Ovis aries: one gene and its partner. The protein of the gene in region 2 interacts with the protein of the main gene of each other region in a pairwise test. Links are inferred from orthologs where the notes say so. Each region holds a gene or a part of one and is shown on either strand. Other genes may lie near its edges.

The links.
Region 1: the proteins of ERCC6L2 (region 2) and CYREN interact in binary tests that used the Homo sapiens proteins (3 or more experiments, as listed by UniProt). The two-hybrid records come from large-scale screens. The link is inferred for Ovis aries from reciprocal best matches to the Homo sapiens genes ERCC6L2 and CYREN.

What each region holds. Positions count from the first base shown.
Region 1 is NC_056057.1:100,466,210-100,476,938, forward strand, and holds the start of CYREN (cell cycle regulator of non-homologous end joining), read right to left. Parts: upstream 5,970-10,729; 5' UTR 5,852-5,969; intron 4,504-5,851; 5' UTR 4,375-4,503; coding exon 4,241-4,374; intron 3,064-4,240; coding exon 2,988-3,063; intron 1,853-2,987; coding exon 1,601-1,852; 3' UTR 1,373-1,600; intron 954-1,372; exon of another isoform or gene 931-953; 3' UTR 100-930; coding exon of another isoform or gene 1-99. Other genes in the region: TMEM140 (transmembrane protein 140), read left to right, coding at 1-99. UniProt on the Homo sapiens protein: Cell-cycle-specific regulator of classical non-homologous end joining (NHEJ) of DNA double-strand break (DSB) repair, which can act both as an activator or inhibitor of NHEJ, depending on the cell cycle phase.
Region 2 is NC_056055.1:30,333,913-30,344,199, forward strand, and holds the start of ERCC6L2 (DNA excision repair protein ERCC-6-like 2), read right to left. Parts: upstream 9,591-10,287; 5' UTR 9,249-9,590; coding exon 9,167-9,248; intron 3,831-9,166; coding exon 3,406-3,830; intron 1-3,405. UniProt on the Homo sapiens protein: Promotes double-strand break (DSB) end-joining and facilitates programmed recombination by controlling how DNA ends are joined in a spatially oriented manner during repair.

The DNA of each region.
Region 1 (10,729 bases), on a different chromosome or scaffold from region 2:
GGCGCTGCCCAGACCTTGCTCATCGTCTTGCTTGTGGCCACAGCTGTGTTCCCTCAGAGGGCAAAGGACAGGAGCTGGGGAGCTGCTAGCTCCGTCTAAAGGCTTATGTGATCGCAAGGGTTCGCTTTGAACTGTGCTCAGAGAAGGCTGCCAGAGAACACACGGGCCGGTGTGTCTTCTCGGCCACCGTTTCACAGCCAGCGCTGAGCAGGCTGGACCCACCATGGAGGGGGTGGGTGCCCAACGTCAAGGAGGACAAGACTTCTTAGGATAGGGTGGTCTGTCCTTTGGGACTTCTAAGACACCCGAGAACCACGTAGCTCATTGTTGCAAGAATTCCTGCTTTAGTTAACTGACCTGAGCAAGCCATTCTGACTTGATCCTCAGAACAATGGGGAGATAAGGCTTCCTGTCATTGGGGCCAGATTTCCAGGACAAGCTGCCAAATGCCAGACGGGAACCCGGTGACGGTTTATGAAGGAACGCCTCAGTGTCCCTGGGAACCCAGCCTAGCAAGCGTCCCATCTCCATCCGAGACAATGCTCCCAAAGGCCAAGGAGTGATCTGAGGGATTCACAGGACAGGCACAGAGAAGAGCCTGGCGGTTTTGAATGTTCCCCTGAAAAGGCGCCTGGACCTGCAGACAGACAGAACAGGGGTCTAACCACTGTGCACGAGCAGCCCGCTCCCAGCACGCGACCCGGGTGTTCAGGAGCCCAGGACGCCAGGTCCCTGGTCAGGAGAGGACGATGAACGGACTGAGCTGGCCCACGTCCATGTGAACGCCGCATGCCCTCCCGTCTCACCCTGCGCCGGAAAGGATACGAGCGCCACTCACGCACGGGGGCACTGTGTGTATTCTTCAGCATCTGTTACACTGACAATCTGTACAGCACGTGATCGCCTCATCCCAGGCCTGTGCAAAGCCACCTGAATAGAGGCAGAAACACGGACTCCGGTGTGATGTCTTGTCCTCTGTGTCTCTTTTGGGCTCCTATCCCACTCTTACTTTCTAACTGCCCAGGGGCTGAGGCCTAGAAAGGTGGCAGAAGGTGGCGGCCCAGGGGAGGAGGGCTGTCTGGTTGGTCGGGAGGCCTCCCAATCTGTACATGGAACGGCAGGCAGGCTCTCAGTGGGGAGCCCAGCCCTGGGGGAAGGTGTCTAGTTCAGGGTTGGACCAACAAGGGCTCACTGACCAACTGACACGTGACGGAAGTGATTTTAAAAACAGGCTTCTTCCTTAAGGTGGCCAAACCGTAGGAACTGCAGGGTACTTAGCAGCCATACTGGTTTTTCCTTGAAAATTATTAAGCTGACTCTTCAGTTCCAGTAAGTTTGACCCCCATGATCTCATTTCCCTGGAACCAGGTACCTGAATAAGACAGTGTTGAGCTCCCAGGCCCCTGAGCACGGACAGCAGAGAGCAGGAATTCTGGGGGGAGCTCACTGACTCTTCACCTCCCCTGGTGAATCCACCCAGCCCAGGGAGGCTTGACGCTGGGAGCAGAAGCTGTCACAGTCTGAGGGCAGCGCTCGGGCTGAGAGGGGAAGCCCAGCCTCCTTCAGCCGCTCTCGGCAGAAGGTCCTGGAAGTGCGTCCCTCAGCTGAAAAAGATCTCCCTGACGTATTTTAGCTCGTCCTGGTCTTCCTCGAGGCTTCTGCTGCAGGCCGTGCCAGAACCCGAGGGCCCCAGGGCAGGGCCGTCTGCCCCACAGTCGTCTTCCTCACTGTCCTCGCTTCGGCTCCAGCGGGGACTTGGGGACGGCGGCGCTGGGCTGGCCGGGGAGCGCTCTGGCTTATCAGCGCCTGCCAGAGGTGGCGGCTCCAACGGCTTTTCCTGTTTTCGGTCCTCCTGAGCAGAAGAAACGGCAGGCAAACAGATGGGTTTTACTTCCCTAACATGCAAGGACACAGAACGTACCCAGTAGCACCTGTAAAGCCAGCGCCGGGGGGCCGGGCCCAGCTCCCAGATCACAGATGGCCCCCTCCCTTCACCCGATTCTGCCCCTCCCCGCCCTCCTTCTCGGGCGGTGCAGAAATCAGGACCAGCAGGGCGAGCGACGGGCAGGGGCCTCAGGAACAGCGGCGCAGGGACGACAAGTGGACCCCACGGACACGGAAGGGCAGGCCGCGAACCCTGAGTGCGGGCCTCACTCACTGGGACTAGCGACAGTATCGACCAGCAGGTTATTGCAAGCATTAAATGAGAGAGGAATATATAAAAGGCCCTGAGCAACTCTCAGGGACTACACCACTCGAAGGTGAGACAACCGTTAGCCGCTCTTGGAAGCCAGGGCTTCAGCGGCGAGGTGCCAAGGATGGTGATCAGAAGTTACCTCGCCCGAAGGAGACCCTCAGAGAACACGAGCAGTTCACGACTCTTGTCCCCTCCACCCGCCACCAGCAGAGAGCCGCCCAGACTGGGAGGGCTGCCCTCTCTCACACGGCCACGGCCTCCCAGGTCTCCAGCCCCAAGGGCCCGGCAGGGGCACCCCTCCCCTGGAGCGGGCTGCAGATGAGCAGGCTCCCGGCTGCCAACAGACAGGGCGCCTCTTTTATTAGCATGAACCCCCGCCAAGAGTCTCCAGTCATCAGAAAAGACACAGCTGGGCTTCCCTGGCGGGTCAGTGGTGAGAAGTCCATCTGCCAATGCAGGAGATATGGGTTCAAGCCCTGGTCCGGGAAGACCCCACAAGCCTCGGGGCAACTCAGCCATGTGCCACGACTACAGAAGCCTGTACGACCCAGGGCCCACACGCTACTATCACTGGACCCAGGAACCACAACTCCTGAGCGCGTGCTCTGCCAACTGCAGAGGCCCATGTGCCCTGGAGCCCGTGCTCCACAAGAGAAACCACGGCAGTGAGAAACTCTCTCACCGCCACCAGAGGGCAGGCCCCACTCCCCGAGCAGCAGCAAGGACCCAGCACGGCCAACATATATACGTAAATAAAATTTACAAAAATAAAAGACACAGTTGACTGTACCTCAATGAGGATCCCCAGAGCAACGTCGACAATTTCGGCTTCATTCATGCAGTACACAGTCCTCACGGCAGGAAATCTGAGAGAAGAGCATGAAGTTAGAGACAGGCACGAATCACCAGCAGGAAAGAATGAGACCCAGAGTCACATCTCGGGGCCTGTCTGCCAGGGCTGAGAGCAGTAGCTTCCCCAGGGCACTGCCGTGGCCTCTGAATCCTTGGAACTAGTGACTGGCACAGGGGTTCTTGGGGCAACCATGGGGTTTCCCACCATCCGTCAACTCCGCTAAGAAATAGGGTGAGATGGCCGGCTCCTGAGACACACACGCGCCCGCGCGCGCATACACGCTCGCGATGCAAAAAAGGTCAAACAGGCCAAGACATGTCTGAATGCCACTCCTCACCCCCATGTGTGAATACAATAAAGGAGGGCTTTCCCTGGTGGCTCAGCAGTAAAGAAACCCCTCACAATGCAGTCCTGGGTTCAATCCCTGGGTCGGGAAGATCCCCTGCAGGAAGGCATGGTAACCCACTCCAGTACTCTTGCCTGGAGAATCCTCATGGACAGAGGAGCCTGGCTACAGTCCGCTGGTTCGCAATGAGCTGGACACGACTGAGCAACTAAGCACAGCACAGCAAAGATCAGAAAGCAAGGCTGGTCAATGAAGAAAACTTAGAAAGGGAAGTCAGAGAGGGACAGTGAGCACCTGAGACTATGGCCAGGAGAGGACAGGGGTACCCCCTCCCTGGCAGCCTGGAGACCCCCACCAATATCACCATTCAACCAACCTCCCCCCCACCGTGCCCCCCAGTCTCTGATTTCTGGCCGACCCGGCAACCTGCAGCTTGTCTGCCCGTCCCTAAAGATATATCTGCAGGAAGATGGGATCACTTGGTCCACCTACCCCCTCATTGGATGGTCACAATTTCTGCGGCAAATGAAGATACTGACAATTTGGACAATTGCTATCTGAGAGCTTAGCTGGTGTGTGTTTAACTCAAGAGCTGGAGCCACTATCTGGGAGCTGACCCATGAGGGCCAGAGGGTGGAGATTCACCGACAGAGGCAGAAGCCAGTGCCAGCCTGGCAGGGCACAGCCACCAGCAGCCTGCACACCCAAGAGCGGATGAGACGTTTGTGGACTGAAACACCCTCCCTCACTGTTCCACCAACACTGGACAACTGGGCCCCAGCAACTGTGAGGCCTTCAATCCCTCCCCTGTCCTAATCCCCCAGGAGGACAGAAGCTGCCCCACCTGGCTGCAGCTGCTGGCACCGTGGCTGGTCTCCTCTTGGGGGTCTTCACCTGCACCGCCCTCTTTTCAGCCACCTGGGCTGTCATCCATGTGGGCAGCACCCTCTTTTTATTCTCAGACTTTAAGGCTTCCATCTCTTTAGTCTCTCATGAAGAGGAACCAGGGTCCAAGCTTAGCGACTTCAGGACAGCGAATCCCACTCTCTCATCTCACAGCAGGAACTGTAGGTCCGTTTGTCATCAACAGGAGTCCATCTTTAATTCCTACAAAGAACAAAGTCCAGTGAATTCTGATAAATAAGAACATTCTCAGGCCTCAGCCACAGTGACTGGTTAGGGCAGGCCAGAGGTGAGCAGGGCCAAGGAGACTCAGATGGATCATTCACAGGGCATGAAGAGGGACGTGGGGAGTGGGCAGGCTACGGGCGTCATGGAGAAGAAGCCCTCCACTCAGGGCCCAGGGCCCCCACCAGCAGTGGGGCCCCATGCTCCCAGGAGCCTCTGCACTGAGCCCCTCAACACAGGAGGAAGGTGCCCCTTCTCTCCACCAGAGACGCTCACTGTCCCCAGGGTGCCCAGACAATCCTACCCTTAAAACCTCTCTCAATGCTCTCTTCCTCCCCTCCTCCCATCACAGATTTCTCCTTCCCTCTATCTAGGAGTGGTTATAAGAAACCCCAAGGCCATTTTGATTCAGTGAGGTTTCACTGGCCAACACCCACTCCCTTAAATCCAAAGATACTTCTGACTGGTCGGGTGTGTCAGATATCATTGTGCCTGAATGTGCAGAATCCAGACGCCAGGGCTCTGGGGGTCGGGGGCCGGTTCTCATCTCATCTGGCCTCTCCCCACCCACCCCCACTGGATTCCCGCCCTGCCCCTGCTGAAACTCAGCCCCGACCCTGTGACTCAAAGGGTGCAGATCTCTGCCCTCCACTGAGCAGTAACCCTGAAAACAGCTCAGCGCGCACGTTCTGTGAAAATCCAAGAGGTGCTAATAGTCATTCCCACATCTAATGTTGTTCAGTCGCTCAGCGTGGTCCACCTCTTCGTGACCCCATGGACTGCAGCAGCCAGGCCTCCCTGTCCATCACCAACGCCCGGAGTTGGCTCAGACTCATGTCCATTGAGTCGGTGATGCCATCCAACCATCTCATCCTCCGTGGCCCCTTCTCCTCCCGCCCTCAATCTTTGCCACATCTAAGGAGCACCGCTAACCACCCCGCACAAGCACAGCTCGGTGCTCGGTGCGTATACTGATTTGACCATGAGATGGATATTCTGAAGCCCATTTTACAGACGAAGAACTGACATTTACCAATTCGCACAGTCACCAAAAAAAAGTTTGAAATGGCCGGTCAGGACTCGCACCTGGGCCCTCCAGGCCCTGGCCCTGGGCCCCGCCGGCTGGGGGCGGGAGGGTGAGGGCCTGGGGCGGCCCCGCGGGCGCAGCGACCTGCCCGGAGCCCCCAGTTCTCCGCCTCCCCGCTCTCGGGGACCCCGCGCCGCTACGGGCGCGATGAGAGCGGGGCCGGCCCGCCAGAGGAGGGCGAAGCGGGACGCGCGACCCACCCGCCCGCGTTCCCGGTACTCCTCCGGCCGGGCTTCCTACCTCGGGGCTCGCGCGCCTCCCTGGCTTCCGGGGAGGACCCGGGAGGCGGATCCGAAAGGTGGTCGGGAGCGGGGAGCCCCGCGGCCCGGCCCCCGCTCCCCTACGTTCCCGCACTTCCGGATCCCGGCCGCCCGCCGGCGTGGCGGACCCGGCGCGCCCCCTGCCGGCGGCCGCGTGGTCTGCGCCCTCGGCGTTGGAGCAGGACTCGCCGGGTAAAGGTGTAGTGAGGCACTCCGACCTCCGCTGACCCGGGTCCTGACCAAGTCTCTCCTTGACCAAATTCAGAGAGGGATCTGAACTCTTCTCAACAACGCCCTGCCTTTTGGACTTCCGCGTGCATCTCCACATTGTCCGTTTTTACCGAGAATACAGCTAATACTGAATTAGCTGGAGTCCGCCCACCCTCCACACCTGATTCTCATCCATCGTCATCCCCCCCAGGTCACGTTTGATTACCCGGCCGCTTATGTAGAGTGCGTCATGAGAAACGCTGGGCTGGAAGAAGCACAAGATGGTATCAAGATTGCCGGGAGAAATATCAATAACCTCAGATATGCAGATGACACCACCCTTATGGCAAAAAGTGAAGAAGAACTAAAAGCCTCTTGATGAAAGAGAAAGAGGAGACTGAAAAAGTTGGCTTAAAGCTCAACATTCAGAAAACGAAGATCATGGCATCTGGGAAGTAGATGGGGAAACAGTGGAAACAGTGTCAGACTTTATTTTGGGGGGCTCCAAAATCACTGCAGATGGTGATTGCAGCCATGAAATTAAAAGACGCTTACTCCTTGGAAGAAAAGTTATGACCAACCTAGATAGCATATTAAAAAGCAGAGAAATTACTTTGCCAACAAAGGTCCGTCTAGTCAAGGCCATGGTTTTTCCAGTGGTCATGTATGGATGTGAGAGTTGGACTGTAAAGAAAGCTGAGAGCCAAAGAATTGATGCTTTTGAACTGTGGTGTTGGGGAAGACTCTTGCAAGTCCCTTGGACTGCAAGGAGATCCAACCAGTCCGTCCTAAAGGAGACCAGTCCTGGGTGTTCATTGGAAGGAATGATGCTGAGGCTGAAACTCCAATACTTTGGCCACCTCATGCGAAGAGTTGACTCATTGGAAAAGACTCTGATGCTGGGAGGGATTGGGGGCAGGAGGAGAAGGGGACGACAGAGGATGAGATGGCTGGATGGCATCACTGACCCGATGCACATGAGTTTGGGTGAACTCCGGGAGTTGGTGATGGACAGGGAAGCCTGGCGTGCTGCGATTCATGGGGTCAAAAAGAGTTGGACATGACTGAGCAACTGAACTAACACAGCAATAATCTTATTAGGTCGATGTAGCCAGAAGCCCACTTCACTCTGGTGTTTCCTCTTAGTAATTATCCATCCACTGACCCCCCACCCAGGCACTTCCCTTGTACTGGGAGTTGAGTTCAACCTCTTCCCCACAGAAAACCCTACCTAGTAGACTCTCTAATAGTTTCCTTACTGTTCCTTAACAAGGGTCGTGAATAATTTTAACAGTATTTTTTTTTAACAGTTCCCAAATGTGGCTCCATTTGAGGCTTGCTGGTTCAGTTCAGTCGCTCAGTCGTGTCCGACTCTTTGTGACCCTATGGATTGCAGCACACCAGGCCTCCCTATCCATCACCAACTCCTGGAGTTTACTCAAACTCATGGCCATTGAGTTGATGATGCCATCCAACCATCTCATCCTCTGTCATACCCATCTCCTCCCGCCTTCAATCTTTCCCAGCACCAGGGTCTTTTCAGATGAGTCAGTTCTTCTGATCAGGTGGCCAAAGCACTGGAGTTTCAGCTTCAGCATCAGTCCTTTCAATGAATATTCAGGACTGATTTCCTTTACGATGGACTGGTTGGATCTCCTTGCTGTCCAAGGGACTCTCAAGAATCTTCTCCAGCACCACTGTTCAAAAGCATCAATTCAGCGCTCAGCTTTCTTTATAGTCTAATTCTCACATCCATACGTGACTACTAGAAAAACCATAGCTTGGACTTGGACTTTGTTGGCAAAGACATGTCTCTGCTTTTTAATATGCTGTCTAGGTTTGCCATAGCTTTTCTTCCAAGGAGCGAATGAAGATTTCATGGCTGCAGTCACCATCTGCAGTGATTTTGGAGCCCAAAAAATAAAGTCTGTCATTGTTTCCATTGTTTCCCCATCTATTTGACATGAAGTGATAGGACCAGATGCCATGATCTTACTTTTCTGAATGTTGAGTCTTAACCCAACTTTTTCACTCTCTTTCACTTTCATCAAAAGGCTTTTTAGTTCTTTGCTTTCTGCCATAAGGGTAGTATCATCTGCATATCTGAGGTTATTGATATTTCTCCTGGCAATCTTGATTCCTGCTTGTGCTTCATCCAGCCCAGCATTTCGCATGATACATTCTGCAATTAAGTTAAATAAGCAGGGTGACAATATACAGCCTTGATGTACTCCTTTCCTGATTTGGAACCAGTCTGTTGTTCTAACTATTGCTTCTACCTGCATATAGATTTCTCAGGAGGCAGTTAAGGTGGTCTGGTGTTCCCATCTCTTTAAGAATTTTCCAGTTTGTTGTGATCTACACAAAGGCTTTGGCATAATCAATAAAGCAGATGTTTTTCTGAAACTGTCTTGCTTTTTTGATGGTCCAACGGACGTTGGCAATTTGATCTCTGGTTCCTCTGCCTTTTCTAAATCCAGTTTGAACATCTGGAAGTTCTTGGTTCATGTAGTATTGAAGCCTGGCTTGGAGAATTTTGAGCATTACTTTGCTAGCGTATGAGATAAGTGCAATTGTGTGGTTCAGTTCAGTCACTCAGTTGTGTCCGGCTCTTTGTGACCCCCATGAATCGCAGCACGCCAGGCCTCCCTGTTCATCACCAACTCCTGGAGTTCACCCAGACTCGCGTCCATTTAGTCCGTGATGCCATCTGGCCATCTCATCCTCTGTCATCCCCTTCTCCTCCTGCCCCCAATCCCTCCCCAGCATCAGAGTCTTTTCCAATGAGTCAACTCTTCACATGAGGTGACCAAAGTACTGGAGTTTCAGCTTTAGCATCATTCCTTCCAAAGAAATTACAGGGTTGATCTCTTTCAGAATGGACTGGTTGGATCTCCTTGCAGTCCAAGGGACTCGCAAGAGTCTTCTCCAACACCACAGTTCAAAAGCATCAATTCTTTGGCGCTCAGCCTTCTTCACAGTCCAACTCTCACATCCATACATGACTACCAGAAAAACCATAGCCTTGACTAGACGGACCTTAGTCGGCAAAGTAATGTCTCTGCTTTTGAATATACTATCTAGGTTGGTCATAACTTTTCTTCCAAGGAGTAAGCGTCTTTTAATTTCATGGCTGCAATCACCATCTGCAGTGATTTTGGAGCCCCAAAAAAATAAAGTCTGTTTGAATATTCTTTGGCATTGCCTTTCTTTGGGATTGGAATGAAAATTGACCTTTCCAGTCCTGTGGCTTGCTGGTTGGACTGTTAAAGGGACAATTCCCAGGCCCCTCCTTCCAACCAGAAATTAAGGAGAAGGGAGAGGGGGAGCTTCATTTTGGAAAGCTCTGATCGGGAAGGGCGGAGGGGGAAGAGAAGTCCCAGAAAAACCAAGTTCACAGCTCCCTGCTGGAGGCATGCACCCCCAGGTAGGGCAAGTAGGGGCAAGGTGAGTCCCTTGGGTGCAGGAAGAGAAATTAAAAACATTGTTTACATTTTTTATCTAGAAAGTGGGAGTTACTAATAATTAATATTCAAATTGGTGACTAAAGTGTTCCCTCTGAGAACAGGGCTGCTCCATAAAGTTGCCCATGTCTCCTCACTTTGCTTTCAACTTGATGCTGAGCGCTGCGGTTCACACGTGGAGTTAGCATCTAGTTTTACATAAAATCATACAGCTTGAAATAGCTTGAAAAAGGCAGGCCAAAAAAGATCCCAAGTGGCAGACATGACTAAACATTTGTGTTTTTGAGGCAAAAGGATGATCAGAACCATCTACCCCCCAAATGTGAAATTATCAAGACAGCCACTTGAAGTGTGACTTACAACAAATCATGTAATAATAGAATAATTACTTCCATATACTAGAGGCACAGGATAGGGGAGTGTGATCCAGAGCTTGGAAAATCAGAGCCAGATCTCACTTCTAACTGTGTGGTGACTTTGGTTTCCCCAGAGCATTTTCACCTCATAACTAAGCCTCAATCCTATGGAGGTAGGCTGGTCCAGGAAAGTTTAAGTCAGTCAAGGATTAAGAAGATAAATCAAGGAGTTAAAATCACAAAATCAACCTGCTGGGCACTGGAGTTGTTTAGTTGCGGGTTGAACCTGGGCTCTGCCTCCAGCCTCTTCATGAGGCAGGACCTGCTTCTCCTCTGATTCCCAAAGGTTCCAACATCAGTCACCTCTAGTGACCTCACTGCCCTCCGTTCCCACAAGTTGTGAGCCAAGACAACCCCAAGTCTAATCAGCGGAGACGCATCATTTTGTGAGCAAAGGAATGGGGAACACTTACTACTAGGAGAAACTCCTCCTCTCTCTCCTTAAAAACCTCTTCCCTTAGCCAGCTGAAAAATGTAGGACGCCCATCTGCATAAAAACCCTTCTGCGCGGAGGCCCGAGCAGGGACCAGAAGCCCAAGCGGAGGGATCTGAATGGGTGGGAGTCAGCTCCTGAAGCCGTCTGAATACTGAGCTCAGGGGGCCCGAGGTCTTGGAGCAGGAGCAGGCAAGCACAGACAGATCCCGAGGATAGTAAGGGAAACGCACCTCACTGTTCTCACGCAGCCCTGCCCAGAGCGGGGCCACAGCTGCACCGGGCGTGCGGGGTCAGGGCACTGGGGCTGGCCTGGCTTGATGGTTTTCATCTGA
Region 2 (10,287 bases):
CTGGAGTTCACCCAAACTCATGTGCATCAAGTCAGTGATGACATCCAGCCATCTCATCCTCGGTCCCTTCTCCTCCTGCCCCCAATCCCTTTCAGCATCAGAGTCTTTCTCAATGAGTCAACTCTTCGCATGAGGTGGCCAAAGTACTGGAGTTTCAGCCTTAGCATCATTCCTTCCAAAGAACACCCAAGACTGATCTCCTTTAGAACGGACTGGCTGGATCTCCTTGCAGTCCAAGGGACTCTCAAGAGTCTTCCCCAACACCACAGTTCAAAAGCATCAATTCTTCAGCGCTCAGCTTTCTTCACAGTCCACCTCTCACATCCATACATGACTACTGGAAAAACCATAGCCTTGACTAGACGGACCTTTGTTGGCCAAGTAATGTCTCTGCTTTTGAATATGCTATCTAGGTTGGTCTGTAAACAGCACTAATTACTTCGACCCTCATCTTTGTTGACAAGTGCAAGAGAAGAAAGGGGAACTGGGAAACCAGTCATTTGGGACTAAGAACAGGAAGCTGGGAAACTTTGTCATTTGGTCACAACTCCAAGAGGGCAAAGGTAACACATCATTTTGTGTAGATGTAGCACTTTCACTTTTCACTTTCATGCACTGGAGAAGGAAATGGCAACCCACAGCAGTGTTCTTGCCTGGAGAATCCCAGGGATGGGGGAGCCTGGTGGGCTGCCATCTATGGGGTTGCAAAGTCGGACACGACTGAAGCGACTTAGCAACAGCAGCAGCAGCAGCCCTCTCTATCACTCATACTAGCACAGAAGAGGTCTATCAAAACCTTAATTCACAGAAGGTGAACAACATATTTACAATGCCAATTTACAAAACTAATCTGAAAAAAAAGACCATCTGCTTTAATGTGGAATACAGTAGTTCTAAAGTTATGGTTAAGGATGAAAAGAAGAAAAAACTATTTAATCAGCCACCTACAGAATAGAAAAAGGGGAAAAACTGCATTTCAGAAATGATGCATCACTCTGGAAAAGCTTTGTTTTTACAGACATTCCTCTGAAACTCTGTCAGGCAAACGTTTTTATAGTCTATTTTTTCTCACACACACTCATGATATACAGCATAAATCAGACATGGGGCAATAAGGCAACAAACATTCTCTCAGACCAACAGAAAGCATGGCAAAAATTATCTATTTCTTATATAATTTTTTAAAACCTACATTCCTTATTTTTCATCTTCCTGGGAGATAAAAAGGTAAGAGAGTATTTTGGAATCATACTTCACAAAGTACGATAATTTTTGCTTGGTTTAAACAACAACAGAAACAACAGTGTGTTATTTTGAAAGGGAACCTAGCCCATTTAGCCTTACGAAGTTCTATTCCTAAAATCTAGACTATTAATACATGCCAAAATGAGAAAAGCAATTTACCTTCAAAATGCTAGGACATTTTTGTTTCTGCTTTAAAAGCTTTGTGGCTCTGGAGGTTAATTAACCTTTCACATTGGGTACTATGGCATTTTCTCCATGAATGAAAATAAAGAAAATATGATTATTTTCTTCATTACTATGTTCTTGAGGGAACAACATGACTTATGATCTAAATAAGTTTTAAATTGTTGTATAGCTTTTGAATCAACTAAAGATCATATTATGCAAAAAAATGGTATTGATAATAACCAAAGAAAGCTGTAATTATCAGCAATCCCACCATTTGTCTCAGGGTTGAGGTTTCCTATACCTATATTTTGAAAATGTATAGTAATGACATTTTTTATAATATCAATGAATATAAAATCAAAGATTCAAAGACAATTTTTACAGTTTGAAAAATGTTCTTTCCTCTGCTGCTCAAAGGCATAATACCATCTTCACATAGCAGATGTAGCACCTCATGTTTCTGATATTGAAGATGACCAGGCATTGACTAGTCAAAATCATGTTGGAAAGAACATTCTAGCATGGGAAAAACAGTAAAAGTATATGTAAAGACAGTCACAGAGGAATTATTATTTATTTTCCTCTAGTAGTCATCGGCATATCAGTCACAGCTGGTAGTTTCCCAAAGGCTCTTTTCTTTTTTCTTTGAACCTATTCTCCTGAGAAAGTAAATTCATTTATTCCACAAGCAATTACTTAACACCTTCAATGTGCAAGTCTCAAACTATGTGCATTGCCTGAGATTAAAAGAAAATAGAGTATGGCTAAAAGTAATACACCATGATTACTGAGGGACTTAATTTTACCCTAACTTTTTACACCAGAACTTTAAACATAGCCATTATTTGGTATTCTCAACTGTTAATTTGAAAGTAAAAGTTAATTTAATTTTTCACTTACCTCTGAACTCCACTAACAATGGAACTGTCATGAAGAAAAAATAGCTTAAATTCAGTTGTAAAGAAGGAAACACAAAAAGACTTAATCACACACTAGACAAACACTCCTGAAAATTCAGAGTGACTGTTTAGTATAAAGTCTAGATTCAGAACTCTAGTCCTTCTGAATTACTAACCTTTGTGGTATACAGCTTCTGACAAGGCTCCCCCAAATTCCCACCTCTTGGTATCCATGACTATATTTCATGCCCACTATGGCCCAGTTGGCAAGCAACCAAGAGAGGGCTTTGCTAATAGCTCATGCAGAAACAGTGGCCTCAGTCTAACAACACACAAGGAACTGAGCCCTGCAACAGCCACACAAGATAGGAAGTGAATCCCCCCTAGTACAACTTTGAAATAACTATGGCCTTAAGAGAAACTCAGCCAAAAGACCCAGCTAAATGGTACCCAGATTCCTGATCCACAGAACCGTAACATGATAAATGTGTATTGTTTCAAGCTGCTATATCTTTAATAATTCGTTATACAGCAATAGATACCTAACATAAGCCTATCTGAAGAAAAGTATATTCATGTGCTAATTCTGGTACATATTTTAGAGAAACAAGAGGCCTCTCTAAAGTCCACCAACTGAATTCCTAGTGGCCCAGAGATCCTAAACTAAGAAACCTCTGCTATGATAAACTCCAAACAATATGTTCAAAAGGCCTGCAGAAAATTGAACCATGCTGTGTAGCTTAACAATTGTCAGAATACTTTCCTTCCATAAGGTATCATTAAGAAAGTTAAATTAATCTAAATATAAATACTAACTATCCTAGTATTAACATTATCAAAGGTAAAAACAAGTCAAATTATACTAAAACATTACTTTAAATAACGTATTTCATAGTACTAAATAAGTACTGAGGTTAAAAAATTGACTAAACACCATCCTTAAGTACTGTGTGAGACAAACACACACACAAAATAATTATAATAAGTTCTGGGATACAAACAGAAATTTGCAGATGGTATCCATTCATGTATGTAATACACATGACATATATGCATGACTTTATTAAATTTTAATTATAAAGTAAATAAATACCTGTACAGTTTTTCCAAGTCCCATATCATCACCAAGAATACACCCTCTTCCTTGGATGAAGTGTCCATAGAGAAACTGGGCTCCCTCCCTTTGGTAGTCTCTTAAATACCTATTGATAGTATAAGGAATGGAGTCTCCATTTTCAGATAGTTGAAAAGGAACAGCTGACGATGGAAATTTTCTGTCTGGGAAATAAGGTTTTTCCAAATCTTCATCATCAAATATAAAATTCCTGGAGCAATCTTTAACAGATTTTACTTCTTGAAGTCTTTTAAGAGGTACTCTCCTTTCTTGAAAATCTGAATATAAGATGACTGCAAATGACTTCCCATTTTCATCCACTGTGATAGATTTTATGCTTGCTTCACAAAGTTTTTCATTATCTGGAGAAGGGGCAAGACATCGTTCTCCTGGATGCCATATATCTATAATAATAAAGGAGAAAATAAACTTTCCAAATCTAACTTTTAAAGTAACACCTCATTTATCCACTTCTATGAGAAAAAAATATTCCTCACATAAATACCCTTCCCAAAATTTGAAACAAGACAAATCATAGGTATCTTCCTAAAGTATATTATCATAATAAAGGGGATATAATTTATTTCTAGTTTTTCTCACCCTATGTGTCATAATCTCCCCATACATGCTTAATCTATTTATGCTGATTAGGTTGATATGGGTCATGGGCATTTGGTTTTATTATTGTGGGCAAATGACTCATGGGCATTTGGTTTTATTATTGTGGTTGGTTATTATTGCTAAATTCAAAAGGTGATTCTGATGCACAGCCAGGATTAAGAACCACTAAGAATCACCTGATGACTCATGAACATTATGTATAGCATTCATACATATGGCAGAATAACTGTGAATAGGACTCGGTAATAGGTAAGCTAAAGTCCTCTGAACAGCTATATTTTTGTGATTCTTCTGTCTGCTTTTTTAGTTATTCCATGTCCTTTTTCTGAACAAAGCTATTTCGTCTCACTGTCAATACTGCTGTTTCTAAAACGTTCCTTGAAGCTGTATACAGCTAATCAAGGGAATCCCCAGTTCAACAGCAGAGTGACATGCACCAGCTTTATCACAGCTTTTTCCATTCGAGGTTTTTAAAAGCTGAGGTTCTTAAAAACGAGATGAATTCTAAGATCTCCTTCTGCTATCATTTCACTATCCTTTGAAAAGTCTGACTTCTCTCTATGTATGAATTCATTCTGTGCTTAACTGTACAGCTATTTTATTTTGTATTCAGAAAATACAGTACTATGGAGTGGGGAGGGAAGCCTCTACAGAGTATAATATTGGTACAATTAAAAGGTACCAAATAGAGGAAATTAAATAAAAATAATTTTCCTAATGGGATTTCATGTAACAAGAATTCCAGAGGAATTGTATGGCTACAATTGTAAGAATACTAGGAATTATTTTTTCCACACATTTCTCACAGAGATCATATGCTCATTGGTAGTTTCCCAGGGTCTTTCTAATGATTCTGAATTAGGCTTTTATAACATTCATGATTATAACTAGTATGTCTATATTCTCCAGTAAGAATAGCTCATTATGCTATTCCCCATCAGTTGTTCCTCAAAAGTAAAACCATTATTCTAACTTTGATAAAGTTGTTTTTATATAACAATCAGAAGCACAGCAAAAAAAAAAAAAATCTGTTCTCCCACTCTAATTTTGTTTTCAAACTGTTTGAGAATTATTACACTCTTCTAAAAATGTTCTAATGTGAAAATAACACTCCGATTCACTGTACAGAGATAAGTCAATGGACCCTATTTTCAAAACAGTACTATCTGAACCTTAAAACCTATGTAAAGCCTTAAGGTAAGTCTTAACACATTACTTGTTTCATATGATTTGTCTGCCTATCCAGCATATGCCTTGTAATTTTTTAGAGCTTTAATTCATTAACTTATTATCAATGTATATGATTTAAAACCAGCTATTCACCAGATACTGTACCACACTATGAGTATAAAAATGAAGAAGAAAAATGTCAAAAATGATAGTCATTAAACCTTGCTTGAAACTAGTCTTTCCCAATTTCATTAAAAGGAATCACTGTCTAGCCAACATTTCAAGGTAGAAAACCTTTCAGTTCAGTTCAGTCGCTCAGTCATGTCCGACTCTTTGCGACCCCATGAATCACAGCACACCAGGCCTCCCTGTCCATCACCAACTCCCGGAGTTCACTCAGATTCATGTCCATCGAGTCAGTGATGCCATCCCGCCATCTCATCCTCTGTCGTCCCCTTCTCCTCCTGCCCCCAATCCCTCCCAGCATCAAAGTCTTTTCCAATGAGTCAACTCTTCACATGAAAACCTTTAGTCAGTCCTTATTCCTCTTCTGATATTACTCCCTACATTCAATCCATCAGAATGTCCTGGTGGTTCTACTTCAAAAAAAAAAAAAAAAAGCCATCACTTTCCTCCATGCCACCAACTCTTCAAAATAACTATTGGCAAACTTTTTCTGTAGAGTCAGATTTTAGCTGTTTATTATTTTAGATTTTGCAGGTTTTATTGTCGCTTGCCTTTGTAACACAAAAGTAGCTACAGACACATAATCAAATGGATATGGCTGTGCTCCAATAAAACTTTATCTACAAAAAAAAAGTGTCAGGCTGAATTTGGTTCTGACTGTATTGTGTCAACGTCTGGCTTTCTCCTAAATTACTGCTCTAGACTCCATTCTTTACCCATTCTCTCCACTGACATTATCTCCCCCTACAATCCATTTTCCACATAGCTGCAATATCAACTACTTAAAAATATTTATTAGTAAATCTTTAATTTAAAATCTTTTAATAATTACCCACTACAGAAAGAATAAACTCCAAGCTCCTTACTATGGTCTACGTGACCCGTATCATTTCCCCCTACTTACCTCTCCAACTTAAAATCTATCAATATTCCCCTTGACTCAGCATACTAGGCAGGTCTTCTCTCACTTATTGTTATGTCATCGCCTCATAGATTTTGTTTCTGATCATCTTATTTAAAGTACCCCACTATTCTGTACCTGAGTATTTTACTGCCTGTATAGCACATATCACAATGTTTAATTATCATGTTTACCTTTTAAAAATCTTTCACTAGAGAATAGTATCTTTTCCGAAAAAATGTCTGTATTGTTCAAAATTTTATCCCCGGGGCCAGCACACAGGAGGCACTCAATAAACGTGCTGAATATATTAACAGAAACACATTCCGAACCTAATAGAACCTTGTTATCTAGTGAGAGAGACAAATACTAAAAAGTTCACACATGTGAAATTGTTGCTTTAAGAGTGCTGTAAGAAAGAAGGACTAAAGAACAGTTTAAAAAGGAAGGAAATCTAGGCAAAGAATGTCAGTCGGGGGGTACATATAGCAGGTGCAAAAACCTCATGGGCTTCACACAACAATCTATAGAAATCTATTAAAATTTGGTTTCTGAGTTTGGGTAACTTGTAGGACTAAGGAGATTCAGTTAAGTTTGATCTAGGGCAGTATCTCTCAGCATTCAAAGTCCAGAACAAATAGTTTAAATTAGGACGATTTCTTTTTGGACTGAATGGGGGGTAAGGCTCCTTACAATCTGGTCCCTGTGTCCGCTTTAACTTCATTTCCTCCCTTTCTCCCGATTTCATCCCAAACTTGCCTTCTAGCTGTTCTTCAACCATGACAAGCATACTCCCATCTTCGGTCCCTGAGATTTCTGTTCCTTCCACCAACCCTCTCCCTAAATCCCAATGTGACTGATTCTCTCCCTTCATTCAGGGTTCTGCTCAAATGGCATCTCCTCAGAGGTATCTCGGAGAAGGCGATGCCGCCCCACTCCAGTACTCTTGCCTGGAAAATCCCATGGATGGAAGAGCCTCATAGGCTGTAGTCCATGGAGTCACAAAGAGTCAGACACCACTGAGCGACTTCACTTTCACTTTTCACTTTCACTCACTGGAGAAGGAAATGGCAACCCATTCCAGTGTTCTTGCCTGGAGAATCCCAGGGACAGGGGAGCTTGGTGGGCTGCCGTCTATGGGGTCACACAGAGTCAGACATGACTGAAGCGACTTAGCAGCAGCAGCAGCAGAAGTATCTTCTCTGATCACTCAATCTAACATAGCACTCCCTGCCACTCTCTCTTCCTTTACCCTGCTTGATTCCATTTTCAGAAAAAATTTGAAATATCTGTTATTGGTTATCTACTTCAGTTCCCCTGAGTAGAGACAATTTGTGTACACTGCCATATTCTGGACACTGAGGACAATGTTTGAAACTCAAATACTTATCAGATTAACAAATATTTATGTAGCGCTAACATTTTGAGGTTTATGTGTGCCACACATGCAAATTGCACATAGTAGGTCATTTAAGCCTTACAACAACCCTACTTCACTACGTTCACTACTTCATGTAAATACTATTATTAGTTCCCTTTTATAAATGGTGAAACAGATAAAGGTTAACCACAGCCACACAGCTAGAAAGTGTCAGAGCCTGGATGTGAATCAAGCTATCTGAACTTGTAGCTACCATGCTGTACCAGTATACTCATGAATGAACAATTCCTTGGAACTGAGCAGCCCTCAGTTCAGTTCAGTTGCTCAGTTGTGCCTGACTCTCTGTGACCCCATGGACTGTGTAGCACGCCAGACTTCTCTGTCCATCACCAACTCCTGGAGCTTGTTCAAGCTTATGTCCATCAAGTCAGTGATGCCATCCAACCATCTCATCCTCTGTCATCCCCTTTTCCTCCTGCCCTCCACCTTTCCCAGCATCAGGGTCTTTTCCAATGATTCAGTTCTTCACATCAGGAGGCTGAAGTCTGAGTAGCCCTGCCCCCTTTTAAATGAGATATGAACATCCCAGTTACTATAATCTCCACTCAGCAGCTTCATCTACTTATTTTACCTGCCAGGTTTCTAAAGATATTTGTATTTGTGGTCCCTGAGTGATAATGTCATCAATTTCTAGTCTTCAGAGCTGAGGCTTGTTACTTAAAAGTCTCTGAAGTTTGGTTCTATATTCCTCATCTATTTAATCAGATCAGTATCTTCCTCAAAAGAAAACATGTAAACAATCAGAATATTTCTAGGCACAGAACAAGCATTCATTCAATATCTGTAAGTTTTTGTTATATCACTATTAATAATGAAAACGATTAATTTGGGGGCAAGAAGACATTCCAGATGACTTGTGGCAAATAACCATGTTCTCCCTAAACCACTCTTAGTGACCCATTAAAGGTGACCCTGACTCAATAAATCACATATAAAGCTCTTTGTGTAATAAACTGAACTAATCTCAATCTATATTCACCACTTAATAATGAACCTACCATTCACTAAGGACTGAGGCATACAACAGAATAAAAATACCAAACATTTAGTGTTTACTATGAGCCAGACACTGGGTCACGTTAAGTGCTTTGCATGACACCGTCTCAATTAATAGTCAAAAGAACTCAACTTGATTGAACTCAGCAATGATTTCAATTTTACAGATGAGCAAACTACACAAAGTTGCTCAGCAAATGACTGTCAGAGCCTGCACTAGATCCAAGGGCAGTCTGACTTCAGAGTTTCTCAACACTGAATCACAAAGAACTAGTCCCAGCTCTAGAGGGGGTACACTATCTCCATCTGTCACTCACAGAGGCCACAGGGTAAAACCCCGACCCCAAGGGAACTGGCATGAACAGGTCCAATCCTACACAGTCAAGACAGGTGTCTGGGCAGAGAGGCGAGCTCGGAGCTTATACCTTTGCCGTTGGTTTCCGCGCGGGGCTTCGGGGTAGACTGATCCATCTGGCCAGGGGGAAGGGCTTGGCAGCCAGGTTGCATTTAACACCCCACGGGCGGCGGACCGCCAGGAGGAGGCGGGCAGGCGGAGGGTGGCAAACTCCACCTTCCGCCACCCTCGGTACATCGCCCTCCCCTGGAGCTCGACGTCACGGCACGGCGGGAGCAAAGGTGGAGCCTGTTGGGGTCCAGGGAGAAGGGACGGTGGCCTCTGCGACAGCGGCAGAGCTGGAGGACGCTATGGAAGCTGGCAAGGCAGCGCTCACCTACTAGCCTGGCGCTCCGCCGGCGGGGGAAGACAACAGGCTGGCTACTCGACCCTTTACCCTCCCTCTCACTGTTAGGCCTCCCTTTGCAGCCCGGCGTAGCTTCTAACCCGAACTCGGAAAATCCCGCGAGAACTGGCTCCGGTACAGTCCTCGGGATCTCACGATAACCAAAATCTTGGTTTACAGGGGCGGAGCGATCTTCCGGCCGTCTTTCCTCTAGAAAGCGTGCAACACAAAGATCCGCGATAGTTGCAAGTAGCGCGGGGGTTTGTATCGTTTACCCGCTCTGTGCGGCTGTTGTGGCTGCAGAGAGAGTCTGGAAGGTGGCCGTGGGCGTGGACCTGCTGAGGGTCTTTTAAGGACCAGTAAGAAAGGTGACGGCCTAGCAGGAGACCATCGTCCCAGCGCTCCTTTGTCCATGGGATTCTCCAACCAAGAATATTGGAGTGGGTTGCCATGTCGTCCTCCAGGAGGACATAGTCACGTCTCCAAGTGCAGCTGGGAAAGATTATTTGGTTTTAAGGGCTCATACGATAAAACTGGGTCCTCCAGTAATCCAGGATACTCTTCCCTTATCAAGATCTATACCCTCAAGCACATCAGTAAGATTCCTTTGCCATAGGATTAAGATATGAACATCTTTGGAGATCATTATTCTGCCTACCCCAGCTTCTTAATGAGGAAAACTATGGCTATTTCCTCTGCAAATAGATATCTATTTTTGACAGATACTAAAAATCAGCATGTTTTCATAAAATGCTTCATCTAGAATAGCACTTGTTTCTGTTTACCAGCAGGTAGAAATTTTGTAT